Arabidopsis thaliana: one gene and its partners. The protein of the gene in region 3 interacts with the protein of the main gene of each other region in a pairwise test. Each region holds a gene or a part of one and is shown on either strand. Other genes may lie near its edges.

What was found.
Region 1: the proteins of AT1G22550 (region 3) and AT1G08230 interact in a protein complementation assay, tested with the Arabidopsis thaliana proteins (one large-scale study listed by BioGRID).
Region 2: the proteins of AT1G22550 (region 3) and TMT2 interact in a protein complementation assay, tested with the Arabidopsis thaliana proteins (one large-scale study listed by BioGRID).

Annotation. Positions count from the first base shown.
Region 1 is NC_003070.9:2,583,107-2,588,663, reverse strand, and holds AT1G08230 (Transmembrane amino acid transporter family protein), read left to right. Parts: upstream 1-1,694; 5' UTR 1,695-1,963; coding exon 1,964-2,051; exon of another isoform or gene 2,052-2,144; coding exon 2,145-2,375; exon of another isoform or gene 2,376-3,579; coding exon 3,580-3,864; intron 3,865-3,953; coding exon 3,954-4,084; intron 4,085-4,221; coding exon 4,222-4,461; intron 4,462-4,568; coding exon 4,569-4,949; 3' UTR 4,950-5,020; downstream 5,021-5,557. Other genes in the region: AT1G08220 (ATPase complex subunit), read left to right, coding at 5,376-5,540. UniProt on the Arabidopsis thaliana protein: High affinity gamma-aminobutyric acid (GABA) transporter probably involved in GABA uptake into cells.
Region 2 is NC_003075.7:16,795,174-16,801,622, reverse strand, and holds TMT2 (tonoplast monosaccharide transporter2), read left to right. Parts: upstream 1-1,811; 5' UTR 1,812-2,551; coding exon 2,552-2,630; intron 2,631-2,778; coding exon 2,779-3,345; intron 3,346-3,427; coding exon 3,428-4,368; intron 4,369-4,464; coding exon 4,465-4,652; intron 4,653-4,746; coding exon 4,747-5,191; 3' UTR 5,192-5,399; coding exon of another isoform or gene 5,400-5,609; 3' UTR 5,610-5,675; coding exon of another isoform or gene 5,676-5,750; 3' UTR 5,751-5,840; downstream 5,841-6,449. Other genes in the region: AT4G35295 (homoserine kinase, putative / HSK), read right to left, coding at 5,400-5,609, 5,676-5,750, 6,240-6,290. UniProt on the Arabidopsis thaliana protein: Sugar proton-coupled antiporter which contributes to vacuolar sugar import (e.g. monosaccharides including glucose, sucrose and fructose), particularly during stress responses (e.g. in response to cold).
Region 3 is NC_003070.9:7,965,901-7,970,719, forward strand, and holds AT1G22550 (Major facilitator superfamily protein), read right to left. Parts: upstream 2,793-4,819; 5' UTR 2,653-2,792; coding exon 2,529-2,652; intron 2,440-2,528; coding exon 2,222-2,439; intron 2,139-2,221; coding exon 1,594-2,138; intron 1,516-1,593; coding exon 708-1,515; 3' UTR 600-707; downstream 1-599. Other genes in the region: AT1G22540 (Major facilitator superfamily protein), read left to right, coding at 1-322.

The DNA of each region.
Region 1 (5,557 bases), 5.4 Mb from region 3:
CATATGTTTGGTGTATGCAAAATGTTGTCTTTTCAAATTTTCAGAAAAGATTGTTAAAAAATATAAATGCGTCTGCCGGGAGTCGAACCCGGGTCTATTGCTTGGAAGGCAATTATCCTAACCGTTGGACTACAGACGCTTTTGCATATCGAGCAAATAAACTATATATACATATAAACTTTGGATGTTGAGGTTAAAGTGAGAAAGATTTTAAAATACATATATATAGATATAATCTATATATATATTTTTGCATCCATTTTGTGAAATAAATCCTGGAGTTGAAACTTATTTACAATGGCTGTCACTGGCTTTTAATTATTAGTTTTTTCAGCAATAAATTGATTAACAAACGAAAAACATTCCAAATATATTTCAATCCCATATATCACGCAGATTTTTCCAAAATTTGAACTAGATTTCAGCAACTATTTAAAACAAAAAATGTTTGACAACCCAAAAGACAATTGCAATCCCTTAAAATGAGCAAACGCAACTAAATACATTTCTTATCAATTCACTAAATCTTATTTCTCCAAAATTTGAACTAGATTTCGACAACTATTTAAAACAAAATTTTGTTTGACAAACTAAAACACAATCGCAATCCATAAAATATTTATTTTAATTATAAATTTCAACTAGCGGGGTACCGCGGTTTTTTTTTACAGGACGGGTTTGGCAGAACGGGTTTGGAAGGACGTTACTTAATAACAATTGTAAACTATAAAATAAAAATATTTTATAGATAGAGATAATTTGCAAAATTTTATATATACTAGTTTAAATAAAAAAAATTATCTCCGCGGTGTACCGCGGGTTAAAATCTAGTCTATATATACATTTTTGCAACTATTTTGTGAAATAAATCTTGTAGTTGAGAATTATTTACAATGATTGCCACTGGATTTTAATATTTGTTTTTGATAATTAGAAAAAAAATCTTCGAATTAAATATTTGACATTTAATAAATTTTTTTAAAATCTCTTTACATTAACTACACGATTGGTTACTAAAATAAAACTTTCAAAATATTTAATATCATTTAATTACTACAAAATTATCATTATTGATATTGTTTTTCTTCATGACTATTACAATTCAATTATAATCATCAAACCGCAGAGATATTTGATAACATTTAATTACTACAAAATTACAAAATATTTAGACAATGATTCATAAACATATGATAAAGAAGATCAACATTAATAAAATAAATGAGCTTTTTTTACGGGATGGGTTGGCGGGACGAGTTTGGCAGGACGAGTTTGGCAGGACGAGTTTGGCAGGACGAGTTTGGCAGGACGTTACTTAATAACAATTCTAAACTATAAAATAAAAATATTTTATAGATAGTTACATAGATTGTTACAAATTACAAACTTTTATATATACTAATTTTAAAATATAAATTGTCCCTACGGTATATCGCGGGTGAAAATCTAGTATTATTATTATTAACCGAAAGAAATTTCTTTCAATTTTAAAAATTCTGTCAGTTATAATGAAAATGTAAAACTGTAATAAGGATTTAATATACATATTAACATGTTATATTGATATGTTATTACTATTATCCAATTTGCTTTTTCTATTACTGTTTGTTGGATGTATTGAAAATTTAAGATTGTCTCCAAAATCGATTATTTTGAAATTATATATAAAAAATAAGATTTAAGAGATTTGTTTCCAAAATATTTTGAATTCTCCATTTATTTTCATATTCTATCATATATTTTTTAAAGAAAATAATCAAGATATACACATTTTATAACTTCATAAATCGTTTGACACAGAAGAGAATCGATAAACTATAAATCTGCAATGTTTAATATTATTACGAAATGCTTTTAGGTAAAAGATGATATGATAGCAAGTGTGTTTTTTGGACTTATAAAAGTGAGTAGCACCTAGTGGGGGGAGAGAGAGAGAAAGAGAAACAAAGAGAGCGATAAAGAGATGGGTGGAGAAGAGAGATCAGGAGATGGAGAAAAAAGAGGGGAAGAAGTAGTTGATGCTGGTTCTCTCTTCGTCCTTAAATCCAAAGGTACGTTTTATTAATTATGAAATCTATGAAACTTAACGTATACTATTATAACCCATTTGAAGAAGATATGATGATGATGATGATGGAAACTAGGGACATGGTGGCACTGCGGATTCCACTTGACGACGTCTATAGTGGCGCCTGCGCTACTGAGTCTACCGTACGCCTTCAAGTTCTTAGGATGGGCTGCCGGGATATCTTGTCTGGTCGGAGGAGCAGCCGTTACTTTCTACTCGTACACTCTTCTTTCTCTTACTCTCGAACACCACGCTTCTCTCGGCAACCGTTACCTCCGCTTCCGTGACATGGCTCATCACATCCTCAGTAATTCTTTTTCTTTTTACATTTGCTCTTTCCTATAATCAAAGCTGCGACAAATTTACCTTAAGAGAATTTCATTCAAGATTGAGATGTATAGTTGTACGTAGACATACGTGTCTATATGAACTTCTATACGTAATAATTGACACACGGCCGGTACCACTCCAATAATTTCATCCACGCAATAAAGGAAGGTACATGTCCTACGTAATAATTTGTTTGAACAAAAAAAAAAGTTAATTTTTGTGTGAAAACGCGAGATGGAATACTTATAATCACGTTTGCTATTACGAACAACGGAATTTTATAAGAAACCAAGTAAACATTGGTATGAGCTCAACTTTTGTTCGTGGTTGGTTAATATCACAATATATGTATTGTGTAAACCTATGATTTTTAAAAAAATACTTTTCTATACTGTTTGGTCTTGTTTCGAATTATAAGAAGAAAAAAAACTAATCATATGGAATTCATATTATAGTGAATTTTTTGATATGGCTTGCTTCGGTTCAATTTTGTTGGGATCCGGATCGAAGTGTTGACCATTCCACATTTCCACTCATACCACTGTTAAGTTTCAACTTTTTCATGCGTTAGATAGCTGTCTCTTTCCGTGTCTTGTTTCATTTTTGATGCAGAAATTTGTCTTTCAAAACTAATTTCAATTTTTAAAAATATGTGCGTGTCAGAAGAGTATTCATAAAACGTTGGTGCCGACCAAAATTTAATCTTATATAAGTAAAGTTGGATAGGTTCGATCTGCTTTCAAAAGTAGAATATTCTAAATTTCAGATCCTACATAGGATTCGATCCAAATTAGGATAGTTACGCTTTGACTGTCGACTACCAAGGAAATCCACATGTCAACAAAACTTTTAAGACAAAATTTAACGTATTTATCTATGCAAAAACTACAAAATGATGAGAAAAAATTGATTGAAATTTTTTATCTTACTGGATAATTCTGTTTTAGTAGCTAATATGAAACTAAATCCATTATGCATCGAATCATCGATTTGGATTTTAGTTTTCATTAGAGTACACCGCTAATCTGAAGGATTTATAGGAATTCGATTTAGCCCACTTTTTCGGGACTGTATACAACTTTAATTAGGATAAGGTAAAGTATAATACAGGTTCCGAATGTTTGATTAGTTAAGATCAGTTTGGTTTTCCTCTTAACAATTATTGGGGTGTGTTTGATAAGGTCCGAAATGGGGAAGGTACTACGTTGGACCAATACAAATGGCGGTGTGCTATGGTGTGGTTATTGCCAATGCGCTCTTGGGAGGGCAATGCCTAAAGGCAATGTACTTGGTAGTGCAGCCAAATGGGGAAATGAAACTCTTTGAGTTTGTGATTATTTTTGGATGCTTACTTTTGGTTTTGGCACAATTCCCATCCTTTCACTCTCTACGATACATCAACTCACTGTCTCTCCTCCTCTGCCTCCTCTACAGTGCTTCTGCCGCTGCTGCATCCATCTACATTGGTACTCTTCTTTACTAAACCACTTTACTCTTAATTCTTAAACCTTTTATATTGTTACATTTAAAAGGTGAGTTTTCTGTTAAATATCAGGAAAAGAACCAAATGCACCAGAGAAGGACTATACTATAGTTGGTGATCCAGAAACTAGAGTGTTTGGAATCTTTAATGCTATGGCTATTATTGCTACTACATACGGCAATGGCATTATACCTGAAATTCAGGTTTCATTTTGTTTCCATTCTTTGTTTAGAACACCACTTTAATATTTATTCATCAAAAACAAAAGGGCAGTCACATGATCGACTCAGTTATATATATAGAGTATTTGATATATGAATACTATCTTCTTGCAACGCAGGCAACAATATCGGCACCAGTGAAAGGAAAAATGATGAAAGGGTTGTGTATGTGTTACCTTGTAGTAATAATGACATTTTTCACAGTAGCCATCACAGGATATTGGGCATTCGGTAAAAAAGCCAATGGACTTATCTTCACCAATTTCTTAAATGCCGAGACAAACCATTACTTTGTCCCTACTTGGTTTATTTTTCTCGTCAATCTCTTCACTGTCCTTCAACTTTCGGCCGTTGCTGTGGTAAATACAATTTTTTTTTAACGTTTTTCTTTCACATATATACATTGTTATTATTTTATTTTATTTTCGTCACATATATACATTGTTACTAATTTTGAGTTATGCAGGTATACCTACAACCTATAAACGATATTTTGGAAAGTGTGATCAGCGATCCAACAAAGAAAGAATTCTCTATCCGCAATGTCATCCCTCGACTAGTTGTGCGTTCCCTCTTCGTCGTGATGGCTACAATCGTTGCGGCAATGCTTCCATTTTTTGGAGATGTAAACTCCTTGTTAGGCGCTTTCGGTTTTATACCTCTAGACTTCGTTCTTCCTGTAGTTTTCTTCAACTTTACTTTCAAGCCGTCTAAAAAAAGTTTCATTTTTTGGATCAACACTGTGATCGCCGTGGTTTTTTCGTGTTTAGGGGTGATTGCTATGGTAGCGGCGGTTAGACAGATTATAATAGATGCCAATACGTATAAGTTGTTTGCGGATGTATAAAAGAACATGCAAAGCAAAGTGAGATTGTTATTTCTATATTTAAGAATAAGCCTTTTTTTTTCTTAGAAAAATGTTTATGATTATAAATTTGGAAAATAATATTCAAATTTTGATAACAATATTTTTACATAATTTAAATTAATTAATTTTGAATGAAATAAATACAGATGAAATAAATATCTAGAAAATTGATAAATCACAGTACAGGCCTGGAATATGAGCATTTGAAACCCAACGCAAAACAATTCCTAGAAACGGAAGCCCAAAAGTTGGGGGCTATAATTAAACCGGATTTAAAAAATCGGTTTGATTGGTTACCCACACAAAAATCTGGTTCAGGATTTTAGACTCGTTTTCAATTTCAAGCGTGTTTGGTTCGCCGGCAGAGAGACATAACCAAACAAATAGGGTTTAAGCTCTACTAAAATGGCGACGACGTTGAATCGAATCCTGAAGCATAGATCAGTCTCTGCTCTCAACAAGCATCATCAAGGACTCTTCTCCCTCACTCGATACGAGAATCATGACTCTCTCCCTTCTCAAATGCCAGCTCTTCGATCAACCACCCGTTCTTTCCTCGATTTTTATAAGGTAGGAAATTCTGAGAA
Region 2 (6,449 bases), on a different chromosome or scaffold from region 3:
AAAATTTAAGTATTAAGCACGATGGTTTTATTCTCGTCGTATGAGAAGACTAATTTAAATACATGTGATCTACTTGTAAAAGAAGCAACCGTTCATTCAATCTCCTATCAGAAAGAATAGTAATCTCTTGAGATTTTTTCTTAAGATAAAGATATGCCAAATATTTAAACAGTATTATGGCGTCACTGACTATTATGACGTAAGAGATTGACTTTTCCATATATTGCAACTTTCTGGAGCCCCGCACATAATCCCTAATAAGTTTTACTTTTGGGCCTTGTTTATTCACTGATCCAGCCCAATGTTCAAATACAAAATTCAGACACCCCAAAGGCCGTATTATTGTATTGTTTTAGACTTTAGACCTTACAATAAGGCCTAAAATGATAACATATTACACATTTCAATTCCAGATAAAAAAAAGAACCGAAAATTTTAATTATAAACGCTATCAAATTGACATTTTCACAAGACTGAATCAAATTTGACACCTCCACGTACACAAGCAAAATTATATTTTGGGTTTTGTATCAATGTGCTGGCTGATTTTTTTTAGCAAAACTGTCCTGTAACATCTCTCCAACTTGGTTTGAATTCGTTTTAACATTAGTTTGGTGACAAACATAACGTTATTGAATTTTTCATTTTTCCGTAATAATCATTCTGATTTTTTTCTTTTCAAAATGTTGTTACTAGATGTTTCTTTCCCAAGAATAATATCTTAAATCAGTAATCACTACTACCAGTAAACATAAATGGTACGTTTCTCCTCATTCTACGGAATTTTTAAGAAGCAATGATGATGATTAATTGAGGATGTGGACAAGAATCTTTATATATTCGCATTCACATGCCATAACTTTCAAAGTCTATGAAAAAAGATTCTATTGCGTGTTTATATTCTGTGGTGTGTACTGTAGTTCCAAACATAACGCTTGTACTACGTTCATTTCCGGAAAATATCTAAGAAATATGGAGTCATAAATATTTATTAACCAATTAGATGTTTTTCCTATGTTCTAAATACATTTATGGTAATCTTTGCGGTCAAATATACGAACTTTAACAACGACGTTTAACAATATATCTTTTGTTTTATACATATCAAGTTTTGATATACGGACGATAGATATTTATTTTCAGAAAACCAGTAGTTGTCGTAGTCACATGGTTTGTTTTTCGTTGATCAAAATTTGTTAATGTTATTCATTTAGAATTAGAGACTGTATATCGAATTTGGTACTCGGTTCTAAAAAAAAAAAAAACTCAATATGATTTTTTATACATTCTTTTTCTTCCCTTTTAATCTGTAAGAAGAATAGTAAAGTGAAGAAGAAAAAACTATTCATTATATTGTAACATACGAATACGACTCACAATTAACTAAAGTTAAAGTGTCTCATTGTATTTGGACTTTGGACATTATTCTCCATTATTGCATTGTTTCTTTCTTTCTTGATTAATTATGTAAAGTTGAAATGATTTGAAGATGCTTTCCGGATGTAAACAAACTAAACTTTACTTTACCAATAACTTTGTTTTCAGAAAACTCAGATATTTATCTCTAGTTTCTCGTATAAGTCCCAATGAATCTAAGATTTCAAAAACCAATCCTATATTTGTTTCATATTTACAAAAAAACACCAAATATTTTTCCCCAATTATGCCGACATTAAACTCATCTTTTTACATACAAAATCCCAAATTAATATCCGTTTTTACCTTTACTTCATGAAAGCGAAGATGGTAAAAAGCAGAAACATTTCGAGATATTAATTTGATTGTATAGGCCCGTGAATAAACTCGTGGACCCAAATCGAAAAGATAACAAAATTTAAAGATGTACTTAATTCTCTGAAAAAATTCTGTACGCAAACACGAGAAAGAGAAGAGAGACATACACACACAATACACATACGTGGTTTGAGAGGACAGGAGCAAAACGGCAGGTGTCACTAATCCCATAGGCTTCTCTCTCTGTTCACTGTCCTTCCGCACAAAAAAAAAAAGTATTCATTTTTATATTCTCACGGTTACTTCGAAATCTAGCTTTCGTTTTCTTTTTTTTTGATTTAAACCAAAAGGGTAAACAATGCTTTATGATTGCTTAGTGACGCCATTGAAGCAGCGGCTCACTGATAGTGGCTTCTTCTGCCTCCAATTCCAAGTTGCTAACCCTAGTTTTCATCTCTCTCTCTGTATATCATATTCTCTCGTACTTTCTTACTTTCTCTTCTACTTGGTAGAGATAAAAAGTAGTCAAATTTTATTCAAAGTTTTGATTTTGACATCTGAGGTTTCACCTCTGTTTTTTTTTTCTAGAACTCCTTTGGGTATGTGTCTTTTACGTCACTAAAGGGTTTGTTATAGTCTTAGGTCATGCTTTTTGGTGTTATCTCTCTCTGTTTTATCTTTTAGCTCACCAAGTGATTGTGTCTGATTTTCGAATTTTCAGGTGGATTTTGTTTCACTCACTCATCGTCGTTGATCAGTGACTCTGTTTTTGCGAAATTCTCTTCAGATTTCTTGATAAAAGATAGAAGACGGAATTATGAGTGGAGCTGTGCTTGTTGCTATTGCTGCTGCTGTTGGCAACTTGTTACAAGGATGGGATAACGCAACTATTGCAGGTGATTGATTATCTTCTGTATCCATAATTCTGTTTATGAAATTTAGGATCGATAAAGTCAGGATTTTTATGGATACAATTCACAGATCTTTTAGCTTATCTCTTTTGCTTGTGTGATGGATTTTAAGTTTTCTTTGGGTACTCTGCAGGAGCTGTGTTGTACATAAAAAAGGAGTTTAATTTGGAGAGTAATCCATCAGTGGAAGGTCTAATTGTGGCGATGTCACTTATTGGTGCTACTCTGATTACAACATGCTCTGGAGGGGTAGCTGATTGGCTTGGTCGCCGTCCCATGCTAATATTGTCCTCAATTCTCTACTTTGTTGGTTCTCTAGTAATGCTATGGTCTCCGAATGTTTATGTGTTGCTCTTAGGAAGGTTGTTAGATGGATTTGGGGTTGGTCTTGTGGTCACACTTGTTCCTATTTATATATCTGAGACTGCACCACCTGAGATTAGGGGACTGTTGAATACGCTACCGCAGTTCACTGGCTCTGGAGGGATGTTCTTATCTTACTGTATGGTTTTCGGAATGTCGTTGATGCCATCACCTAGCTGGAGATTGATGCTTGGTGTCCTTTTCATCCCTTCCCTTGTCTTTTTCTTCCTCACGGTCTTCTTCTTGCCCGAGTCCCCAAGGTGGCTCGTGAGCAAAGGTCGAATGCTTGAAGCAAAGCGGGTTCTTCAGAGACTGCGTGGTCGCGAAGATGTGTCTGGTTAGTCTTAAATCGTTCTGACTCTAATTCTTTCAATGAAACCAATCTTTTCTATTGAATGTTCTTATGTGGCAATGTATAGGTGAGATGGCTTTGTTGGTTGAGGGTCTTGGAATTGGAGGTGAAACAACCATAGAGGAATATATAATTGGTCCCGCGGATGAAGTTACTGATGATCATGATATAGCTGTGGATAAGGATCAAATTAAGTTATATGGTGCAGAAGAAGGGCTGAGTTGGGTTGCTAGGCCAGTCAAAGGAGGAAGCACTATGAGTGTTTTGTCTCGCCATGGAAGTACAATGAGCAGGAGGCAAGGCTCATTGATTGATCCTCTTGTCACACTGTTTGGGAGCGTTCACGAGAAGATGCCGGACACTGGAAGCATGAGGAGTGCCTTGTTCCCACATTTTGGGAGTATGTTCAGTGTTGGAGGGAATCAACCAAGACATGAAGATTGGGATGAAGAGAATCTTGTTGGAGAAGGTGAGGATTATCCATCCGACCATGGAGATGATTCTGAAGATGATCTTCATTCTCCGTTGATCTCACGTCAAACGACAAGCATGGAGAAAGACATGCCTCACACTGCTCATGGAACTCTTTCTACCTTCAGACATGGAAGTCAAGTGCAGGGAGCTCAAGGGGAAGGAGCGGGTAGTATGGGGATTGGAGGTGGATGGCAAGTGGCATGGAAATGGACGGAAAGAGAAGATGAATCGGGACAGAAAGAAGGTGGGTTTAAACGGATATACTTGCATCAAGAAGGTTTCCCAGGATCTCGACGTGGCTCAATTGTTTCATTGCCTGGTGGTGATGGAACCGGTGAGGCAGATTTTGTACAAGCGTCTGCTTTGGTTAGCCAACCAGCTCTTTATTCCAAAGACCTTCTCAAAGAACATACAATTGGTCCTGCTATGGTACATCCATCCGAAACAACTAAAGGGTCAATTTGGCATGATCTTCATGATCCTGGAGTCAAGCGTGCATTAGTCGTAGGAGTTGGACTTCAAATACTTCAGCAGGTAGTCTAGATAGCCACATCAAAATTAGTGAATCACAGAAGAAATAATGCGGTTTATGCTAATTCTATGTTTTCCTGCTTCCTCTTGGAAATGCAGTTCTCAGGCATCAACGGAGTTCTTTACTACACACCGCAAATCCTTGAGCAGGCGGGTGTCGGGATCCTACTATCGAACATGGGGATTAGTTCTTCCTCAGCATCCTTACTTATAAGTGCATTGACAACCTTTGTGATGTTACCTGCAATAGCTGTTGCAATGAGGCTCATGGATCTTTCTGGTCGAAGGTGATTAAAACTTAAATTTCCTTTGTTCTTACAATACACATAAACGAAACAAGCTAAAATGCGTTATGAAATGTCTTTTATTTTATATTTGCAGGACCTTGCTTCTCACCACGATACCAATCCTGATAGCATCTCTATTGGTTTTAGTAATCTCAAATCTTGTTCACATGAACAGCATTGTGCACGCGGTCTTATCAACCGTAAGCGTTGTGCTCTACTTCTGCTTCTTCGTGATGGGTTTCGGTCCTGCTCCAAACATCCTCTGTTCAGAGATTTTTCCAACTCGAGTCCGCGGAATCTGCATCGCCATCTGCGCACTCACCTTCTGGATCTGTGACATAATCGTCACTTACAGTCTCCCCGTGCTGCTCAAATCCATTGGACTAGCTGGTGTGTTTGGAATGTACGCAATCGTATGTTGCATTTCATGGGTCTTTGTGTTCATTAAAGTCCCGGAAACTAAAGGCATGCCACTTGAAGTCATCACAGAGTTCTTTTCTGTTGGAGCTAGACAAGCTGAAGCTGCTAAAAACGAGTGAGAAACTGAAAGACTTGTTGAGATAAAAAGTTTGTGTAATATTCATGTGGATTTGTTGTTGTCTTTTTACTTTGTGCAGTAATAATCATCTCTCTCTGTTTCGTCTTCTTCATGTGGGGAGAAAAAAAAGTTTCAAACTTTCAGTTACGAATCTCTTTATTACCATTTACCATTTGCAGAATCCATAGAACAAATCCGTAAACTTTCAATTACATACTTTCGATAAGTCTAGCTCCGACTTTATCAAGTTTCTTCACAGAAGCAGTAGATTTCAAGTTTCCGATCTTCAAGAACACTTGGACCATTTTCTCTCCGATCTCGTAACCTTTCTCCGCCGTGTCAATCACTGCAACCGCAGTTATGGTGCGACCAAATGCTCCAGCTTCTTTCCCATTCAAAGCAGAAAGTGATTTATTCACCTATAATTCTTGAGCAATTCAGCGTCTTTCCTCGCTTCTTCTCCTTTCATTGCTCAAACTCTAAACCTTGTAGCCTCGAGCTCTGTGATTTGTAGCCTCGAGCTCTGTTTCTGCAATCACACAAGCTGCTCTATGGTTTGGCTACAATCAGTCGCTACACGTTTCAAAGCTAATGCCAAATATATCATCCATTGTTTTCTTGCGAATCTTGGCTAATGAGGGCACGTGCGAGACTCTCATTGCTCTAAGCTTTTTAAGTGGAAAAAGGAAACAATCCAAAATTTGTTTTAGAAAAGGAAATAACAAAGAAAAAGGAAACAACAAAGAGCCGTTAAGAAAAAAGGAAACTTTGAATCCCAAACACAAACGATGTGTCTATAAATTGAGGAACCCTTCTCAGAGATAGAAAATTCTTAAGTGAGAGAGAGAGAGATGAAATTACATACGCAATTGCTCTGATTTTCACCATTCTCTTCTTCGATTCCTGTTTCCTTCGCTTCTAATTCAACTCTGATTCTTCTTCTTCCTCCTTTGTCTCTCGTTAATGGCGTTACGATATCTTCTCTCAGTCTCCGTCGTCGGAAGTTTTCTACTTTTGTTTGAATTCAAAGGATTCCGGATTTTGTTTACCCTGTCTTCAATGCAATGGTTCATCGGAAGATTTTGCGTTTTCTGGTTCATGATTCATCGGATGATCGGAGGCTTTTGGGTTTATCCGGTTCATGATTCATCGGATGATCGGCGACTTTTGGGTTTCTCCGGTTCATGATTCATCGGATGATCGGAGGCTTTTGGTTTATCAGTCACGGACACGCACACGGGGAAGACGGACATGGCGGT
Region 3 (4,819 bases):
TCTCTTTGGTATCACGGATGTTTTCGCAATGGTGGGTCTTCAAGAGTTCTTCTATGACCAAGTCCCGAATGAGCTGAGGAGTGTGGGGTTGGCTCTGTACTTGAGCATATTCGGTATTGGTAACTTTCTCAGCAGTTTCATGATATCAATCATTGAGAAAGCGACAAGCCAATCTGGTCAAGCGAGTTGGTTCGCAAACAACCTGAACCAAGCTCATCTCGATTACTTTTACTGGTTACTCGCTTGTCTCAGCTTCATTGGCTTAGCCTCCTACTTGTATGTTGCAAAGTCTTACGTCTCTAAAAGGCTCGACACCAGTTAAACCCAAAATCTCTCGTTTAAATATCGCAGGTACTCTCTTTCCCTCTCTTGTGTAATTTTTGAATACACAAATCATTACTGTGCAAATGTATACTTTTCATGTCTGGTATATCGTGTTGATCATGTGGCTCTTTTGCCAAATCCATCGCATCTTTCACGTCCCTACCATTACATGGCTCAACACCAGTAAATGTATATTTTTTCATGTTTGGTGTATAGTCTTTTCCTTATCGTGTATATTATCCAGCTGTGTTCCAAGCTAACTTCCAGAGATTTCATCTTAATAAACTAAAATTGTTGAATAAAAAATAGGTTAAAGAGTTTCTAACCACGTTATGAATAACCAAATATGATATGAAAGTAGATACACGTTGACTTTTTTTTTCTTAGACTTGATCTACACGGCGATACACATACAGCCTGGATAATAACAAAAACGCCAAGAACCCAATGGCAGTGAAAGCAGCAAGCAACCAGTAAAAATAATCGACATGGGCTCTGTTCAGGTTAGTATTGAACCAGCTATCGCCGCCATTTTTCCCGGTAGCCCAATTAATCACAGTGATTAGAAAACCGCTCAAGAAGCTCGCAAGACCCATCGCACTCAAAGAAAGTGCAAGACCAATACTCCTTAGCTCCGTGGGGACCTGGTCGTAGAAGAATTCTTGTGTCCCCACTAGTGAGAATACATCGATCATCCCAAGTAGTAAATACTGAGGAACGAACCACCATATGGACATTGGGATGGTTGCGTCCGGTCTATCCACAAGCCCATGTTCTTTAGCCGTCTCGAGCCGTTTCATTTCTACTAACGCTGCAACCACCATATTTAAGCTGGAGAGCACCATTCCAGCTCCTATTCTTTGTAGCATTGTGATCCCTGAAGGCTTTTTGGTAATCAATCTAGCTAACGGAAGGAAAACACGCTCATAAGTTGGAACTGAGATGAAAATCGATAAACCGATGAGTGCTTGAAAAGAAGCCGGAGGGATCTCGAAACCCGGCAAGATTTTTCTGTCCACCGTAACGCCTTGTTTTGTGAAGAAAGTAGCATATTGAGCGTAAGGAATCGTGCTCACTACTGATGTGATCCATATCGGAATAAGCCTAACCAAAGCCATCGCGTCTTCCACGTCCCTACTACTACATGGCTCTACACCTCCTTCTCCTGGTAGCAACGCTTTTGCTAGGAACCTTAGTAAAAATAAAGAAAACTTTATACTCAAGTCACAATAAACCAAAACTCAAAAGATTCAAGACTTGTGAACTTACTCAAGTTGTCCTTTACATTTCTTGTACGAACCAACTTCCAACTGACCTGAATGTGTTAACTTCAGTTTCCGATTCTTGAACGCCACCAAGAAAACTCTACCGATCCTCGCAAAAGCGTTATTCTTCCCCTCGCGATCTCCTCTTGGATATCTATAAGTTTTTCTTCCAAACAAGAAGAGAGCAAGAGCCATGACCATGAACAAACAAGGGATACCAAACCCAAGAGCCCAATTAACATTGTCTTGAACGTAAACCACCACAATAATCGACAAAGTTATTCCCGCGGATAAACTCAAGAACCACCAATTGAAAAACGATCCTCTACTTATTCTCTCCTTTGGATCTCCCACATCAAACTGGTCAGCACCAAAAGCTTGAACACATGGCTTGTGTCCGCCTTGTCCGATCGCCACCAAATACAGAGAACAAAAGAATAATATATTCACCCAAAAAAACGGTTTAGCAGAAGCGTTGCGGTTATGTTGACGTTGCTCCGATAATCCCATTAGGATTAAGATAGAGGATAAGGTCAATAGTCCTAGTCCCTGTAACAAAAATCCCCTCAAATTTTAGTGAAAATTCTAAAATGTTATCAAGATATTGAAGTAAGAGACAAGAACGTTATTACAAGTATGTAGATGAGGGAAGCAACAACAATGGTACGGTAACGACCAAGATAAGCATCTGCAATGAAAGCTCCTAAAACAGGAAGTATCGAGGCGGTTCCTGACCATGTGTTCACGTTCACGGCGGCGGTGGCTGTTGATTGTCCGAGAGGTCCGGTGAGGTAAGTAATTAAGTTGGAACCAATCCCAAAGTAAGCAAATCTTTCTCCAACTTCCACACCTAAAAAACCACACCAAAAAAATAAAATAAAATGTTTAAAAAATAATGGTTTATGAGACAATTTACAAATCACAAAAACTGTTCTTTACCTATAATGTACCAGGCGGATCTCCATCCGCCGGTGGAAGATTTTCCGGCAGGAAGTCCACGGTGGTCAACGGAGTCGCTGACGGAATCTTCTATAAGTGCAGCTTCTTCTTCGGCTATCGCCATTTTCTTGTCGGAGGAAACTGGATTTTAAGCTATATGTATTTATTTATATTTAGTTTTGATATTAAAGCTATATTTGCTGCGTGAATAATGAACACGATAAATAGATTGTGATATGTATATATTCTTTTTATATAGTCTAGTCAGATGAGTGATTGATTATGAGGAGCTGTATTATTTTTATGATTTGTACAGCTGCTATCATAATTTTAAATGGACGTGATTCACGAGCTATATTTTAATCCTCTAATATGATTACATAATCTAAAGTTACAACTAACAACCAATAAACATGCGGTTTCATGTCTATATATCACTGTTTTCGTTATTTTATCTTACAGAAATCAAAAGTCAACTATTAGGGTTTATTAGCTACTAAATTTAAATGACACGATCCATACAAGCTAATTTTCATCTTTTAAATAAGCTAAAAGTTTTTTTTTTAGTAATTGTTTGTTATTAATTCTTAGTGTAATAATCCTTTTTAAATCGTGTTAATTCAGATAATGATTTTAGATTACTATTTTGTGCTATCATGATTTTATTTTATTTTTGTTAAAATTAGTTGCATTATATACCACAATTCCTGTATAATAAAGAAAGTACTATGAGTCGAGAAAGTAATTAAATAGTGTATAACTTAAAATTGTTTATAATTTAACTAACCGTCGTAAGACCCTTTAACTGTTATTCAGTTAAAAACGTCACATTACATGTATAATAAGTATAAACACTTTTATGAATAAACTTAAGGGAAACTAAAAATTGAAAATTTTATTTTGACGTATTATTGTTTAAGTATAAACTAGAAGTGCGTTTTCAGTATGAGCGGGTTCAAAAGAGATGCTATGAGTGTCAACGTTTGACTCATGAGAGAGATGTTTGCCCTGTCCTCATAAAAGCAAGACAAGATGCTGCTTTGGCAAGACGCTCTGGTAAACCAGTGGAGAGACCTAAGAAACCCCCTGTTTTGAAAGAATCAGACCCTTTGTTTGGGGTTTTAAGAGAGGATCAAGTTGGGATTGACAAGTTGACGGGCAGACCGAGAATCGCTGCAGATGTTTTAGAAGGGATGAGACAATATCTTTTGGTCTCTGATGAAACTGAGAAGCTGCTGAGGATTAACAAGGTGAAAAAGTCTGTTGGAGAAGTAGAGAAGGATCCAGTTCTGAGAAAGTCAATGCTGAGTCATGAACCAGCCCCTGTGGTTCATCTGGACTTGTCTAAAGACAAAGGAGTTTTCTTTAGCTATGCTGATGAAGGGATTAACTTGAGGAATGTTGGAAAAGTATTAGCTCAGCCCAATCTGCGTGAAGAGGGTGGGACTTCAAGTTCTTCACATTCGTGGAATTTAAATCAGGCTGGCCCTAATGCCTTTGATGTGGATGCCAATTTTCTTGCTTTGTCTCAGCCTTTTCAGGATAATTCGGCGGTTTTTAAAGCTGGGTTCTTTGAACCTAGCTTATCCGGAATTAAGCCTAAGAAAGCAAAGGCAAGAAAAAGGCCAACTAAGAATCAGAGGAAAGCTAATCCTTTACCGGCTTCAGGTCTTGCTGCATCACAAGAGTTGAAGAAAGGTCTCAGTCATGGTGCTAAAGAGAAACGAAAGGCAGTTGATGAGGGAACTAGCACTGCAAAATCCACAAAACTCAATCCCTTAGAGGTGATCCCAAAGGGGGGATTGCCCACCGCGCAATGAGCATTATCAGCTGGAATTGTCAAGGCTTGGGACGGTCTCAAGACTTGGCTTTCCCTCGTCTTAAGGAATTGCGTAAAAAGTATTTCCCTGAGATGTTGTTTCTGATGGAGACTATGAATAGTAGAGATGTTCTTGTTGATTTGCATACATTTTTAGGTTATGATAGAGTGTATTCTATAGAGCCTGTTGGAAGGTGTGGTGGTTTAGCTATCTTTTGGAAGGAAAGTGTTAAGATCGATATCAAGTTTGCTGATAAGAATTTGATTGATCTTCAAGTGCAGTTTGGTGCGGTGAACTTTTTTCTGTCTTGTGTGTATGGTGACCCCGACTTTAAAAAAAGAAAGATTGTTTGGGAAAGACTAAGCATAATTGGAGTTGGAAGGAGAGAAAGATGGTGTATGGTGGGTGATTTCAATGAAATTCTGCATAATGAGGAAAAGATTGGTGGCCCGAAGAGATGTGAGTCTTACT